Linked DNA regions of Oryzias latipes. The protein of the gene in region 3 purifies or fractionates together with the protein of the main gene of each other region. This does not show direct contact. Links are inferred from orthologs where the notes say so. Each region holds a gene or a part of one and is shown on either strand. Other genes may lie near its edges.

The links. Proteins that work in one complex are often made in the same cells at the same time.
Region 1: the proteins of cpsf1 (region 3) and pre-mRNA 3'-end-processing factor FIP1 fractionate together in Homo sapiens (co-fractionation; 8 studies listed by BioGRID and IntAct, with this or other methods). This does not show direct contact. The link is inferred for Oryzias latipes from reciprocal best matches to the Homo sapiens genes CPSF1 and FIP1L1.
Region 2: the proteins of cpsf1 (region 3) and sympk fractionate together in Homo sapiens (co-fractionation; 5 studies listed by BioGRID and IntAct, with this or other methods). This does not show direct contact. The link is inferred for Oryzias latipes from reciprocal best matches to the Homo sapiens genes CPSF1 and SYMPK.

Annotation. Positions count from the first base shown.
Region 1 is NC_019859.2:11,139,448-11,144,833, forward strand, and holds the start of pre-mRNA 3'-end-processing factor FIP1, read right to left. Parts: upstream 3,350-5,386; 5' UTR 3,147-3,349; coding exon 3,068-3,146; intron 2,699-3,067; coding exon 2,641-2,698; intron 2,185-2,640; coding exon 2,115-2,184; intron 2,020-2,114; coding exon 1,907-2,019; intron 1,196-1,906; coding exon 1,134-1,195; intron 1,026-1,133; coding exon 915-1,025; intron 610-914; coding exon 479-609; intron 1-478.
Region 2 is NC_019879.2:16,690,866-16,696,019, forward strand, and holds the start of sympk (symplekin), read right to left. Parts: upstream 3,350-5,154; 5' UTR 3,086-3,349; intron 2,879-3,085; 5' UTR 2,841-2,878; coding exon 2,778-2,840; intron 2,318-2,777; coding exon 2,252-2,317; intron 2,141-2,251; coding exon 2,087-2,140; intron 1,989-2,086; coding exon 1,915-1,988; intron 1,819-1,914; coding exon 1,692-1,818; intron 1,595-1,691; coding exon 1,345-1,594; intron 1,236-1,344; coding exon 1,065-1,235; intron 978-1,064; coding exon 738-977; intron 67-737; coding exon 1-66. Other genes in the region: slc35f5 (solute carrier family 35 member F5), read left to right, coding at 3,572-3,630, 4,401-4,542, 5,050-5,154. UniProt on the Homo sapiens protein: Scaffold protein that functions as a component of a multimolecular complex involved in histone mRNA 3'-end processing. Specific component of the tight junction (TJ) plaque, but might not be an exclusively junctional component. May have a house-keeping rule.
Region 3 is NC_019869.2:25,053,012-25,057,661, reverse strand, and holds part of cpsf1 (cleavage and polyadenylation specificity factor subunit 1), read right to left. Parts: intron 4,605-4,650; coding exon 4,517-4,604; intron 4,407-4,516; coding exon 4,275-4,406; intron 4,189-4,274; coding exon 4,137-4,188; intron 4,056-4,136; coding exon 3,982-4,055; intron 3,212-3,981; coding exon 3,137-3,211; intron 3,062-3,136; coding exon 2,981-3,061; intron 2,743-2,980; coding exon 2,656-2,742; intron 2,579-2,655; coding exon 2,399-2,578; intron 2,307-2,398; coding exon 2,165-2,306; intron 2,059-2,164; coding exon 1,880-2,058; intron 1,781-1,879; coding exon 1,641-1,780; intron 1,556-1,640; coding exon 1,375-1,555; intron 1,025-1,374; coding exon 818-1,024; intron 744-817; coding exon 654-743; intron 587-653; coding exon 440-586; intron 373-439; coding exon 220-372; intron 1-219. UniProt on the Homo sapiens protein: Component of the cleavage and polyadenylation specificity factor (CPSF) complex that plays a key role in pre-mRNA 3'-end formation, recognizing the AAUAAA signal sequence and interacting with poly(A) polymerase and other factors to bring about cleavage and poly(A) addition.

The DNA.
Region 1 (5,386 bases), on a different chromosome or scaffold from region 3:
AGATGCTTTATAGTCTGGTGTTGCAAGAAGCCGTTGGTTTTATAGTTTAACAGGTTGCAGGAGGAAAACCCTGACAGGTCTACAGAAAGAGATTTCTACCATCAAGGAAGGATGGATGGATGTTCATTCACCACAAAGCCTTAAATCAACATCTTAGCTACTGTAACCACACAGCACAGACTGAAAACGCAATAAACATGAAACCTTTTGTTCTTCAGGTTAGATCAAAATACGAAACCCTCATGCTTTTAAAAATATCTAATCAAAATAAACCTTTCAGCAGGAAGAACAGTTTCATAAATATGAAAGTCTGGATTAATCAGGGCTTTGAGCTAAAGTAGAGGTGTCAGACTCCAGGCCTCAAGCATCCAGTCGGTTTCTCGAGAAATCCGCCTGACCTGCTGCTGATTACATGTATGGCCGGAGTTTGAAGGGTGTGGGCTAAAGAACAGGAATACAATTCATAGCTGTGTCTCACAGTGATCTTGCTGGTCACAGATCCGACTGTCGAGACGTCCAGACCCATTCGCAGCCTCTTCTGTTTCTCGCAGTATGCCTTCCAGGTGTCCTCGTTGAAGCCGTAGTTGAAGTAGTCGGACAGATCCGCTCCTGCACACAGAAAGACGCTTTCAGTGACTGAAGATGATATTTCTACCTTTTTAAGACCGTTAAGTATAGAGAAAGTCTAAAAAAATAAAAATGAATACCCAAAGATGCTTTAGTCCTTATGTTGTTTTTTTTACAATATTTAAAGACTATCAATGGCTTTTCATCTAAAAAAAAGGCAGAGCTGATGTTTTATAGTGACGAAATTGTTTTTATTGCATCACATTTATCCATCTTTTTTTAATTTGTAAAGACAGTAATAACCCTAAAAAGTATAGCTAAAACCATTTTACTTGACTTTTACAAACCTGGCTTCCTCCAGGGCTTCTCTTCAAAGGACTCCACGTCCACCTCCAGCACCGGGACGCCATTGATGTTTCCTGGTGCATCAAGATCCACCCCTTTCAGCTTTGAAGACACTGAGAATAACCAAAATAAATGCTGCTGAATGCTTACAAAGTAAGAAAGAAGAGGAATATTGTTCAAACACAACTGAAAATAATTGTTGCAACAGCTTGGAGACGCACCCTGTCCATAAGGTCTGGAGCCTGACTTTATGTTGAGGTTAACAGGTGGAGTGCCGTAAGTCCTGCAACAAAAATAGAATACTTATTAATTATCTAATAAAATACAAAAAATAATGCAGGCCAGGTTTTTTTTGGCATGAATACATTTACCACGATTATTCAGTTACTGTAAAATAAATAATCACAAATCCATCGCTAAAATTCAACAGATTATTGCTGGGTTTGCAACCAAAGATCATTTGACTTTTACAACCTGTATAAAAAAAAAACACTCAGGTCCATTAAAACTAATTCAAAAAAGAAAACCACATCAAATTTTATGGAATAAAATTGAATACAGAAATTGTTTCAAAAATTCAAGCCTTCACATTTTTATGCAACATTAACAGCTAAAGTTAGGGTCACTAAATACTTCCAACACGTCAACTCAGAAGACATCTCTATGTCCCCAAACAACAACATAGCCTGACAGGAAACAAGAAACCCAGCAGATGCAGGAAGGAAACCGGAGATTTTTTTATTTTTTTTTACATCTCTGTTCTGCCTGTGTTTTGCTGAAAGTCCAAAATCAAAAGTAACACCTTCTGACACCGGTGTCTTTTCCACAATAAAGCCATCTGAAGCCAAAAAAAAGGTTAGAACTTAAAAGGATAAGAAAAAACGAAAAACAACAAAACATTTCTTCTTGCCATTAATTAAAAACAAGAAAACAGCTTCATACAAAAACATTTACTACGAGAAACTGTAAATATTTCCACTGGACTCAAACCTACGTGTATTGTGGTGCTCCGGTCTTAATGTCACCGATGGTAACGCGGACGTCATCGTCGTCATCATCGCTGTCGCTGTCACTTTCTACATCCTCACCAGCAGTTTCACCAGTGGCCTGAAATGTCGGGAAAAAGAGAAAAAAAAGCCTCCAATTTAGTAAAGATGCAGGAAAAAAAGACAGGTGGAGAGAAACAAATAAAAACAGGCTACCTCAGACGCAACTCCGTTTCCTGTTGCATGTTCAGGAGCAGCATCTTCTGCTTGAGCATCAGCTGGTGCACTGCAGGTTTATTAATAAACTGTTAGACATGCTGTAAAGCTTTCTATAACAACAACAAAAGGTCTTGGTTTTATTTGTCCTAATTTCCACAATGATGGTTTATTTTAAGAGATTTACTAATGATATAATTTTATGTCAGATGTTTAACTGGAAAATGAAATAACCGATCAAAGTTTTAGAGCTAAAAAGTCTTGAGTTTTGATGTAATGTATTTAGAATTTAATCAAACTTAAGGGTTCACCTACCTGACATAAGTTAAAGAAATTCAATTCATACACCCACATTTTACAAGCATTTATCACATAAAAAAAGACCACGCAAAGCTTCTGCTAAACGGCTACATCATGTACATGTAAACATGTAAAACAGTCATTGTTTTGGGAAAATTCCCCTAAATTATCAAAATGGTTCTCTTTTTCTTTTTGTAAATGATATTCAATGGTGTTTGTGTTTTACCCGACATCCGTGTTTAACTTTGCTCCTTCTTCATCCTCCTCTTTGGTCTCGGACTCATCTGAAAAGAAACATTAATTATCACCGGGCGGATAACAACACATGTAAACTAATATGACTTGATATCATTGACTGTGTACGCAAAAGCCCTAGAAAAAACACGCATGGCAGAGTGATAAAGAATGTAAAGCTCATAATAATTATAATAAAAAAATATATATTTATAACTTGCTTTTAAGTCATCTTTCTGCTTAAGGCCAAAGCGCAGATTGCTAACTAGCTACCCAGCTAGCACAGACAGACAGCGCACTTTTTAAACTGCTTTACCTTCCAGTCTAATTTGAAGTTAAACCAACTACAATTACTTTGTTGTTTTTTATGTCGGTCATTTTAGGCGACACTTGCATTTCCTTGTAGTTAATTGATTTACCTCCATACAACCATTCCTCCTCCTCGTCCCCGGCGCTAGCATCGGTGGTGGTCGTTTTGTCCGCCTCCTCCGCAGACATGTTCGCCCAGCTCAGAAAAGCTGAAAGTATAAGCGAGACCCTACGAAAAACCACCAACAAAAGAGTACCACTGAGAATTATTACAAAGTCCTACTTTTCGGAGGACGCTATTTTTTTATTAATATACGCATGAATTGGGTTCTTTCAGATCCATTTAGACGTCTACGAGTCGTGAACCCGGAAGAGACTCCGGAGAATGTCCTGCAGAAGCTCAGCAACGGTGTACAACTGAAGCAGAGCGCCCCCTACTGGAGTGGATGATTTAGCGCCATGTGTCCCAATGGAGAGAAAACCTTTAATGTTGTCGGTTGCCCTAGTTTTTACCCCACACACTTTTCAGAGCTTGAAACTGAAAAAACTCTAGCAATTTTACTTTCAAAATAGTAAATAGTATGCAATTATATAGCACTTGATGAGGGGAAAAGCACTTTCTTGCACTGATGGCAGCTATTTGGGTCATTAATAAGGCCAACAGGACAGAATTGGGATTCAACTTTTTGTTTTTGTACTGACTAAACTTACTTTATTTAAAATCAAAAACTAAGTTATATCTACTACATGCCCATGACTGACATGACCCCACCTTCGCCGCATAGTTAGCAGGATAGGCTCCAGCAACCCTGCAACCCTGAAATGGATTGAGCTGAGTTGGAAGATTGATCATACAAACTACATGTAATAATATTACTATAACTTTGTATCATGGATGGGTGACAAACAAAATAAAAAAATAGTTTAAAAGTGTTGTCTTATGAGAGCAACTTTTACTCATGACATCAATGAGTTCTACCTTGCAAAGTTTGGGGAAACTAAGTGATTCTAGATTCGGGGACAAAAAAACAACTCTTGCATTAAATGCTATTATGAACACAGATGCAAAGTTTTGTTCTTGAACCAAGTTTCTGATTAAATACATGTTTGTTTTAAAAAGTTCTTATTTTATTTATAATTTATAAATAGCCATAATATATTTATTATTTTTCCCCACTTCCTTGCAACTTCAACCACTTTATGGCATCAAGAAGCATTCAAGATTCCCACTGTGTTTGCTAATGTAAAAAGGACTGTTAATGCATTTATGGCCAGTTGAGTAGGGCTTCTTTAGGTTTTCAGCAAATTAATGTAAATGTTTGGATTCTTTCACTCTCCTCTCCCCTTTTTCTGCTATCACTTACTCAATGCAGCGCTCACATCAACAGTCATGCACAACATGGACATATGCACTGATTGGCCTGCAATAAAAAATCACTAGGAGACAATTTGTGGTCCTCACTTTTTCAGTGTGAGGGTAGGGGGGGAGAAAGGTGGTAACATCATAGTTGTAGCTGTATTGATTTTCCTCACTCTATCTGAGCCAGGGCTTGATATCACCAGCATCTGCTGTATCACATCATATGTGAGAATTACGTGTGGCTCTCTAAACACAGTTAAGGGCACACACATGCACCTACACTCCAGAGAGCGTTAGACAGGGATCCTAATGCTCTGTCCGTTAAACTGATAATAGAAATTGCATTTATTTTACTCACTCTCTCCCTCTTCTCCAGTTTCTCTCATTGGTTTCTATTTTTGCTGTTGATTTTCATTACCTTTCATCTTTATTTCTTATATTTATGTTTTCAAATTCCATCTTTTATCCATTTTGCTCATTTGATGTACAGCATCATCACAACCATTGTCTTGTTGCAGTGTGAAAGCAGTTGGTTTGGTTCCTGGCTGTCTTGTGACTTTCTTTCTGTTAGTCACTGTGACACTGTTGTGTTTTCTGTGTGTTAATTATGTGCAGGAGCATTTGCGTAGGTTTCAGCGAGCCCCGGAGTTGTTTGGCAGGAGCATCCTGGTTGACGGGAGTGTAGGAGGGAGTCCATTGATGTGACCTCCTCACGATGTGTAGCAGCTTCATCACAGCCTTGCACACATGAAAACAGCAAACATGTAAAGGCCCTGCAGAAGATCCACAAAAAATGTCCAGGGACAACAGTAAGACTTAAAGACACACTCAGGGTTTGGATGTTTTGAACACCTTATGGCCTTTTTCTGATGGATGAGAACATATATTAAGATAATTAAGCTAAAAAAAATAGCGTTTCTGAGAATTTCTTTATTCAAATTCTTGTAAATCAGGAGCACACAAAAAAAGTAATTTGAAAAGGATTGTATTTGTGAATTACAAAATATGCTGGGAAGGCCACAAGCTCCTTTCTCCGAACTCTCAGCAACGGGAAGGGGAAGGGGGGTGG
Region 2 (5,154 bases), on a different chromosome or scaffold from region 3:
CTGGCTTGGGGGCTGCGAGGGGGGCTGGCTCCTCCTTGTCTTCATCATCTTCCATAAGAGCTGGTTCTAAACAGTAGAACACGCACCATAAATCAATAAAGAAACCATGTGTCTTTGCAAAAGCAATTTTAAAAAACCATAATAAATAAAGAAACCATGTGTCTTTGCAAAAGCAATTTTTATAGGCCTCCGATGCCCAAATATGGTTAGACATGAGTTATGCTAATTTCATTCAGAATATTCCCAAAAACAACATTATTGGAATAAAAAAAGAAGAAGAAAAGAAAACCTGTAATGAAACGGGATCGGAGTACCCAAAATATGTTTTAAATTCAAAAAATGTCTGTAATTGTTGTCACAAATTAAAACAAATCCATAGTGAATTTATAATCCACACTGATAGCACAAAATGAAACATTAAAATATAAACCGTGGGGGAATTAAGAAAAGAGCAAGAATAACCTAAAATTTTGAATCTAAAATTCTATTTCTATTAGTCAATCTAAAACTACAGAGTCACCACACAGTAATCTAAAGAATCTCTGGGTGTGATGCTGCTGCAATAGAGACTAACCTGTGCAGAAAGAAAAACTAAGTAAAGCAAAGTTACAGCCTCTGCAAGTGATGGCAAGAAAACAAACACTCGTAATCTTTCAACAAGTCCTTTAAAGACTGTTTTTTTTTTATAAAAATGTTATTTTCTAAGGCAGTCTGCATTTTTGTGGTGAACTACTCACCAATCTTGACCTTCTTTCCCTCTGTGTATTGCTCATAGCGAGGCCTCTTGCGAGGCTCTCGTGGTACAGGAGTGTTTCGAGTTATCTCAGTCTGAGGCATTCCCAGATCCAGCAGCAAAGTGCTGATCTGACCCTGGAACTCCACACTGCACGGATGTTTGAGAACTGCCACCAAGTGCAGCTTTAAGTTTTTTCGAACACTGCTAACCTGAGATTTGGCCAGAGTGGGGGGAAGGTTAGCTAGAAAAAAAGATAAATATTAATGATTGCACCTTAATAATAATGTTAAGGGGATAATATATATTTTTTTGACTAAGAAGCACTCACCGTGGAGGGTCTCATATGCTTGCACCACCTCTGACATGAACATTGGTCTTTGACGGGCAATCGTTGCCAAAGAACCCAATGCAGTGGTGAGGTTAATGCTGGATATAGCTGGGTGGACCATGAATTTTAAGAGCTTTTCCAGTGCACTCTTTCCTTCTTCACACAAAGTACCTGTTGATTCAACAGAATGTAATAAATCTATCCTGCAGTAAGAAAGATTTTAACATGCCTGTTTAAAAAAAAAAAAAAGAAAAAAAAAAGAGAGTTCTAAAATCTTTACCGTAGTGAATGTACGAATGGTCTTTGGGAACTTTGTCAAGGCTAATGTCAGCATCCTGGCGTTTGGGTACATCAGAGTCAGGTGTCCGCGGCGAGAGAGTGATGATTAAAGATTCTGTGAATTTGATGCTGTGTGTGCGAACACCATCATTGTCGGAGTCCAGCAAGGCCAACACTTCCCCTTTCATTTGAGTGATCAAGTCCCAGCATGCCTCCTGCATTTCTGACAGTGTTTTTGAGCTGACCAACCACTGGCAGAAAAGAAACAACAGAAGATGTGGGAACATAAAAACACCGTATTCCTATTATTTTAGCAGGAAATTATGCGAGTGACTTTAAGGTGCATACCTGTAATGTTACTTTATAGAGCTGAGTGAGTGTCAGAATGGCTTTCTTCACCACATTTACACTTTCATCCTTCAGCAGCATGTTTAGATTGGCGATAAGTCTAACAAGGAGCTCATTGTCCCTTTTACTAGTTGGGAAATAGATATAAAAAAAAAAGAGTTTCAATAAATATACATACATTTAAAAGTGTATAAGATGTAAAATGTTGACACAAACAACTAACCATGCTTCCTCTATAAATCCAATGACAAACTTTTTCACTTCTATTGATTTGTCGGTCTGAAACGCTATTATTTCCTGTAAAATAGAATTGGCAAGATACAAGAACATGACTGGGCCGATTTTAACTTACACGCTTACCATTCCTTTGCCATGAAAGGCAGGTGCTTACTTACATCCAAAAAGTTGTCAAGAAGGGACGGATCCTTGTTGATGATGAGCTCTTGAACCTAAAGGAAATTCAAACGCGTGACTTCAAATTCTTACAACCACCTCATCAGCACCTCAGTCGGTGCTGCTGTGTAGCAGTCATCTAAACTGCACAGATTTACACTACCAACCTGTTTGAGAGCAGTCAGCTTTTCATCAGTGGGTATGAGAGAAGCTTGATTCAGAAGCTCCACCACCTGAGAAAAGAAAGAACCAGAGTAAGTCTCTACAACGCTACAATAAGAGGCTAACCAGCCAAAAAATATTAGCATAATTTCTACTATATAGCATGTTTGAGCCAAATGAGGTGTTCTTAGCTATTAACCCCAGACAACTGCAAATGTAGACTACAGCCCCATTTAGATTAAACTGCAGCAATTGTAAATATTTCTTATATATTGCAATTTATCAGAACAAAATCGATGGCAGATTAAAAAATAAAGAATGTTTAGATAGCAAGATCAAGATTTAACTTGCATCACACAAAAAGCATTTAATGATTTGTTGTGTTTCTAGATGTATATTTTAAGACTTAAAATGCTTTATATGAACAATTTCAGATTAAAATATTTCTGTTTTAAAGTCTGCTACCTCCAGATTGTGTTGTTGTCCCTGAGATTGTAAACAAATCTTTCATCTTGTGCTAATTGTACAGACCTTTTCACTGGTGGTCATATCGACCCCTTTCGGAGTGTCCTCCGCCTTAGAAGAAATGTCCATGTTGCTGATGTTCCAGTCAGTAATAATCTTGCATGATCCTGAAAGGAAAACAGAAATAATAATAATAATTTAGAGCATACATAACAATACGAGAATTACGCATAACATCTATATTTTAATTCAAATTACTGAACGTTTTAAGTCAGACTACAAACATTCGTATGTATTACAGAAACACATATTCAATTGATAATACTTAAATAAACAAATTTCAATACGCAAGTCAGTATTTTTTTCTAACTTACCTACACGATTACCAGAATGATGAGAATGAATCCAGTTAGTTAGCTCGTAACATTAGGTTAGCCAAAACGATAAAATAATAATCTACTTTACTAAGCCAACTGCGTTATAGATACACTAACTCTTGTATTAAACGGGTAATTACAAATATGATCTATTAGACAACAAGATTTGCCTTGTTTTAGTACTTATTAAATATATGAATTAACTTTGCTAGCAAGCAAACAAAGCTACCGCCATATTTCATCGAAGAAGCTATGGTACGGTTCTTCTTCGGCTGTTTTCGGATACTCAAATAAAAGCAGCGCCTCCTGCTGGATTTGTGTGCCTCTAAGCTATTTTTGTTTATTTATTTTTTAACTATTAATAAGAACACTAGTATTGTTTACATCACATGGGAAACAAAATATGTGCCATAGACACATTTCAAATGTTTTTAATCGATCACCATTTAACTACAAGTCCCATGAGGCTTAGCGGGATAAGTGATGTCACCTGATGCTAATAACAAGACAAGGAAGTGCTTATGTTTACAACCGCTGGAGTGGTAAAATATTCTCGTTTAAAACGTGTTGTTTTTTAGAAACAGTAATGTAAAAGATCAATCGGACATCAACTAATGAAGAAAAGTGAATGAATACGCCTCGCATTCGGGTGAACACGCCGCTGTTATTGCTTTTGTTACTTTGTTTGTAGGACATTTTACTAGCTCTTAGTTAGCTTGGAAAACAGGCAGCTAAAACGTACCACTGCGAAGCTTGTTTTGGATACAGCTAGTAAAAACTGTGCTTATTTTGTTTTTAATATACAGAACGTCGTATCGTAATAAATCAGTTAATTTTACATCTTTAAATTGCAGACGGTTTCGTGCTCATAGTTTTGATTCTCATTGGGACCACTTATGTTTTACATTCATTGCCACATGAACATGCAACAGAATTTTTGTTTAAAGAGGCGGAGGTCTAGTAGAAAACACGCACATCATCACTTGTAACACGCGTTTATGAGTATTGTTGTTAGTGATGCTTTACAAGCGTATTTCCTGCAACGTGTTAGTTAAGTTAACCACGGTCTTCATTGGAAAAACCTGTAGGAAAGGCCTTTGACTGGTTTCCCAGTCTTAAGGAACTTTTTTTCATTTTTACCTTGTCTTAAAAGTCTATATGAATCTGTCATGGTATATTCTTATAAATTGTACCTTTAGAGCAATGTACAGTGGCATTGTTGCCTTGTCCCTCCAGCAAAGCATACAGTAGAATAAAAAGAGGGAAAAAATATCATATTCGTTTTCCCCTCTATGTCATGTGTCTGTTATAGGGTCTCAATGGAGTGGGTTTTCATCATGAACCGGATGAGCTCTCAGGGAAGCTCTACAGCCCAGCGGAGGAGGATGGCCTTAGGGGTGGTGATACTCCTTCTGGTGGATGTCATCTGGGTGGCTTCCTCCGAGCTAACCTCAGTAAGGACAGTCTGTCAGCTGTCTGTGGGTTGTCATTTAGTGTGTAACAAAACTCTACTGAGACAAACACACAAGAACGTCCTCACAGTATCTTAACAAAGTCTTACAGGAATTAGAGTAGTTTAAGTTCGAATCAGTCAAAGTTTGGCAAATCCAAACTGACTAAGCCAGTTCCTCGAGTTGACTCAAATTCTATTTGTAAAAAATGTATTTCCAAAACATCTGTATGTGCATTTCTTCTGGCTTTTTACAGCATAGCTTCAGTAAACATTAAAGATTTGACATTGATGAAACAGACAAAAAAAAATATATATGGAAGAATTTGGGTAAGGTAGCACTGAAAAAAGGATTTATTTTCTACATTTAATCTGGTTTATTATGGATGCATCCACAGTAGCCCTGAATGGGGATTGAGTTAACTACAGAAACCTCAATTCAAATGTGGTTGTTTGCCACTTAGTGAAATGAAAACCCTAATACCCATTTTCCTTCTCTTTATTCCATCAGTACATTTTCAAGCGTCAGGATTACAACAAACCTTTTTTTAGCACATTTACCAAGACATCAATGTTTGTGCTGTATTTGCTGGGATTCCTCCTGTGGAGGCCCTGG
Region 3 (4,650 bases):
AGCACAGAATGTTCTGGTGTTGGAGGTTCCGTCAGGCTGCAGAGGAACTGAAGCAGCTCCATGATGCCACAGACGGATGCGAGTGAGGAGCCACGCAGCTGGAGCTTCGGTGTTCCGCCTAAGCAATGAGGCCCTGTGAAGGAGCCGTTGCACCCATCCGACAGCTGGACGCTGGAGACCCAGAGAGAATGTTTGGAGGCGTCCCGTTGAAGCACATACCTGTTTGTTGAAGTAGAGGAAGCCTTTGGGGCAGTTGATGTTGTGAAAGGGGGAGAAGGACTCGATGGGTCCGTCGATGGTCATGGGGTGAAGCCTCAGCCCTCCTCGAGAGGTGATCAACATCCAGTGGGGGGATGGGCCACAGATGAACACCTGAGGAAACAACATGTATCAGGAGCTAACCCTTCTGGGTAAATTCCAAATGGACTTTAGTTTGTACCCCAGAGTATCCAGAAATGTCCTCAAAGTACCGGAACCTGGAAATTCGGCTCTTCACAGCCACATTTTCCTCAGGACCTCCGCCCTCCGCCTTCTTGTCTTTCTTCAGCTTGGGTTTCTTCTCTCTGAAGTTAATGCTGTGGGGCACCTGAGCCGGAGGAGAAACGCCATCAGACGCTTCGCTGGAAGCAGCCGCTACTCCGCTCCAGACTCACCTTTTTGAAGCGGACTTTCAGGTTGTTCTGCGGCTGCTGCTGGTCGTACGGGAACGCTTCGTAGACCAGAAGTTCGTTCTCCACGTGGACCTGAGACAGCAAGGGCCTTCGGTCTTCCACAGATCCAACACAGAGATGGAGATCAGCCCAGGGGAAAAACTCACCAGCAGATACGGGCGGCTGCGATTGTTGCCGAGAGCAACCAAAGCCACCTCTTTGACCAACGGGATCTCTCCCTGTCGAGTGACTTCCTCCTTCTTCCCGTCTCCCTGTGTCGCTGACTGTCCAGAAGAGCTGTCCACCAGCACCCTTTGGCCCACCGGGAAGTTCTTCACCAGGAAGACCAGCCGCCAGTCAGGCAGCTGGTAAATCTGCCCCACAAAGAGTCAATGAAATGAAGCACAACAGACTTAAACAAGTTTCCCAGTAGCTTAATCTAAGAGCGCTGACAAATGCTGCAGAAGGATGACAAAACACTTTCACTTCCTGTTTGAAACACCTGTGAAATAAAAACTAATGAGTTACAGTTACAGTCTGTTATAGTCACTGAAAAAGACAACTATTATGAGCCTCATGCTTTTCCGTAACAACTCGAAGTTGCACACAGATGTAGGTGTGGCCTTTTGATTGACAGGTAAGAAAGGACAGAGTTTAAGGGCTCACTTCGACCTCACATTTCCTGCCATCAGAGCACCTGAACGGAGGGTCCAGGCAGACATACCTCCATTACGCCGTTCTCCCGGATCAGCACACACCAGTGGCTAGGCTCGGCTTTGCCCGCGCTACCCTCACCCCCAGGGGGCGCTGTTGCTGCAGAGCCGCGGCTCATTTCCTCTTTCCCGGCTGCCATGCTGGCGCCGGACTCGCCGTACAGCATCTCCTCTTCATCATCCACTGTGTTGCTGCACAAAAACAGGAGAGGTCATCAGACTGCTGCCCATAAGTAGGAGGAGCAGTGGGAGGTTCTGGAGAGCATGTGCCTCCTACCTGAGGTCCTGGTAGACTGTCTCTGTCTCAGAGTTGCTCCTGAGGATGAGGTCCTCTTTGGAGGAGCAGCTGGATTTGTTTTCTGTGGTGAACATCCCACTGACGTCTCGATACGCACACAGAGCGATCACTCGAGATAGCTGTGGGGCGAGAGGGTTTCAAACGCTTGCAAGAAGTGCAACAGCTTTTATTGGCCAGCAGGGGGGGCAACCACAGAACCTAAAGGACATTCCACTCACCGTGGAAATTTGAGGTTTCTGCAGAGCCAGTCGGTGTGTTTTCCCCATGTAAGTGTCACTCTTCAGCACAAACATAGTGACCACGCCCTCTGCGGTCATAATAACGACGTACGGGTCCGCCACAGAGCAATGAACTATGGGAGATCCCAGATCCACTGGGATGAAGTGAAGCTGCTTCACTGAAAGGTGAAATGAGAGTTAGAGGGGCTTCCATCAAACACTCTTCAGGCTCATATTCTGGGATGTATTTGTCTTCAACACTAAATGGATGCAGCCTCATTTCACCTCCTTCAAGAAGCCGAAGTCCCATGGGGGAGACCTGGATGATGTATTGGTTATCTCCAATGTTTCCAGCAAACACAGTGGGTCCCTGAGTGGCAAAGCCACTGGTGTCCAGCTCCATGATCTCCTGACCCGTCTGCAGGATCTTAAAGAGAAAGAGGTTTTCCTTTCATTAAACCTTTTTTCTCCTTTCCTGGTTCCAGAATCTGAATGTTGACTGAATGTTTCTTCTGTTACCATGGTTGAATCTTCTCTGCTCAGGATGAGGAAGCCGTGCTTCTTTGCATCGTCTTCCAGAGGAGGCTCTGTCTTATCCTGCTCTTCTTTCTTCTCTGCGTCCGCTTCCTTTTCTCCTCCTTCACTCTCCTCTTCTGTCTCCACCTTCCCTCCATCCTCCGACTCCTCATTTTTGCCGCTCTGGAAATCATAAAGTTACAGACTAAGAAACCAAAGCGACAGCCGCGCAGCAGGAAGCGTATTTCTGTTGAGCGTACCTTCTTGTCTTCCCCTGAGATTACCGTCCACATGTCGTGGCAACCTGGCAGCTCAAACGTAGTGACTACTTGAGGTCGGATGCTTCTCTGAGAAGAAAAAAGCAAAAGGATAACAAGAAATCTCCTGAAAGAGACAGGGGGCGTGAACATGTGCCTGGGGTGTTTACTGGCTGCTCCGTGGATCTCTGAGGCAGCCGTGGTAAACCCAGACCGTGCTGTAGCACCGTCTCAGGACCTGTGGCAGACGGCCCTCGCCACCACAGGTTTCAGGACTGTGCGGGACACCGATCAGGTGTGTAAACAAACTCAGAGCAGACAGAGATACCTGCAAGACGGACAGAGCACCGTTTTTGCCGTAGCCAGAGCAAACAACGATCTCCAAGTCGGGTTCAGGGTTGCTCTGAAACTGTGGGAAAAGTGACATTTAGGTGGATGAATGTAGAAACAGAGAGTCGTCTGCATGGGTTCCAAAAGTGTCTACCTCTTCAGAGAGAAAAGCAGGTTCACCCATGGAAGCATTCGCACAAGGTCCAATGTTGAGTATGCTGTCGCAAACCTGTAGGGAAACACAAAAAAAAAAACACACACTTCACACAAGAAATCCTCTACTGAACGAAGGAGGCTGAGCTTCATCCATTGGCTTGATATTTCAGTCAGCTCACTGTCCAGGTGCTGCTTTATGAGTTTACACATCGATATCAGAAAATACTATTTGGATTTTGATAAGTTTATTATTCTACATTTTCTTTTCCCTAGGGGGGGCCTGGCAAAAAACTTTACCGTTGACTATCTAGAAGAAATCCAAGGAATCTGGAAAACTTCCCCTGCACTGTCCAGGTATTTCTCTCTGAGTCTCACTGGTTGAAGTTTTGGATTAAGATGACCTGGATGCTAAATGGCGTGTACTTATAAAGCACTTTTCTACCTACAAGGCCCAAAGCTGTTTACAGTCACACACACAGTCACACACTGGTGGCGGCTCCGCTGCCGAACACTGGCGCCAACCTACCACCAGAGACCGAGACACCGCCTCTCTGCTGGTTCATCACCGCAGTGATCAAAAATCCCACACCGTCACAGCTTTAGCAACATCACTAGTTTTTAAGGAAACTTTGGATCATGGGTGTCAGAAATTTGATACAAATGGTTGGAACTCAAAAAGTATTTTTGGTGACAAATATAGTTTACTGCATTGAAGAACCTGTGTGTTAGTGAACACACAGGTCAGCTTAAAGGAACTGCAGGCACAGGAGCTTCTTCAAAATGTAGGCAGAGCAGAACTCTGCAGATCCTCTGCACAGAGGAGATAGAAGCCAACTTTTTTACCTCAAAGGAGAAGGTGGCCAGCTGAGTGCCTGACTGGGCTTCACTTCCATAAACCTCGATCTCATCCACCTCATCTGACAAGACAAAGAAGTATGAAGCAGAGCAGCCTGCAGAGCCAGACACGGAGAAACTTTACCAGGCGACAGCGAACGCACCAGTCCAGTTGCTGGAAGACTCCACTCGCTTTTTCTTGTTGGGGGGTTCCTCCTGAAAGGTAGACATGGTCTTAAGGAATTTATCATTTCTATTTCTGCCACACAATTAAAAGAAAAGTATTTGTGTCACAGACGTGCCTGCTTCTCTTTTTCCTGCTTGTCATTTCCGTCCTCTGCGGGCGCCTCCTGCAGCTTCTCCGTGTATTTCAGGAGCAGCGAGTTTCCCAGACGGGAACCCAGGAACAGGTAGCCGGGCTCCATCGTCACCATCTGACCAAGACAGACAAAGTGAAATGGAAGACTGCTCCTGCTGCACAGGTGCAGCCCGAAGAGCAGCAAAAAGGAGCAGCTCTGGTCTCCTGAGCGTTGGCAGAACTCACGCAGGTCGTCAGGACGCTGGCTGCAGCTTTGTCAAAGTGAAACGCACGGACGCTCCTCATGCCGTCCGTTATGAGGGTCAACACGTAACTGCAAAAACAGCAGTGGTCAATGAGGACGCACAAATTGTAACAAA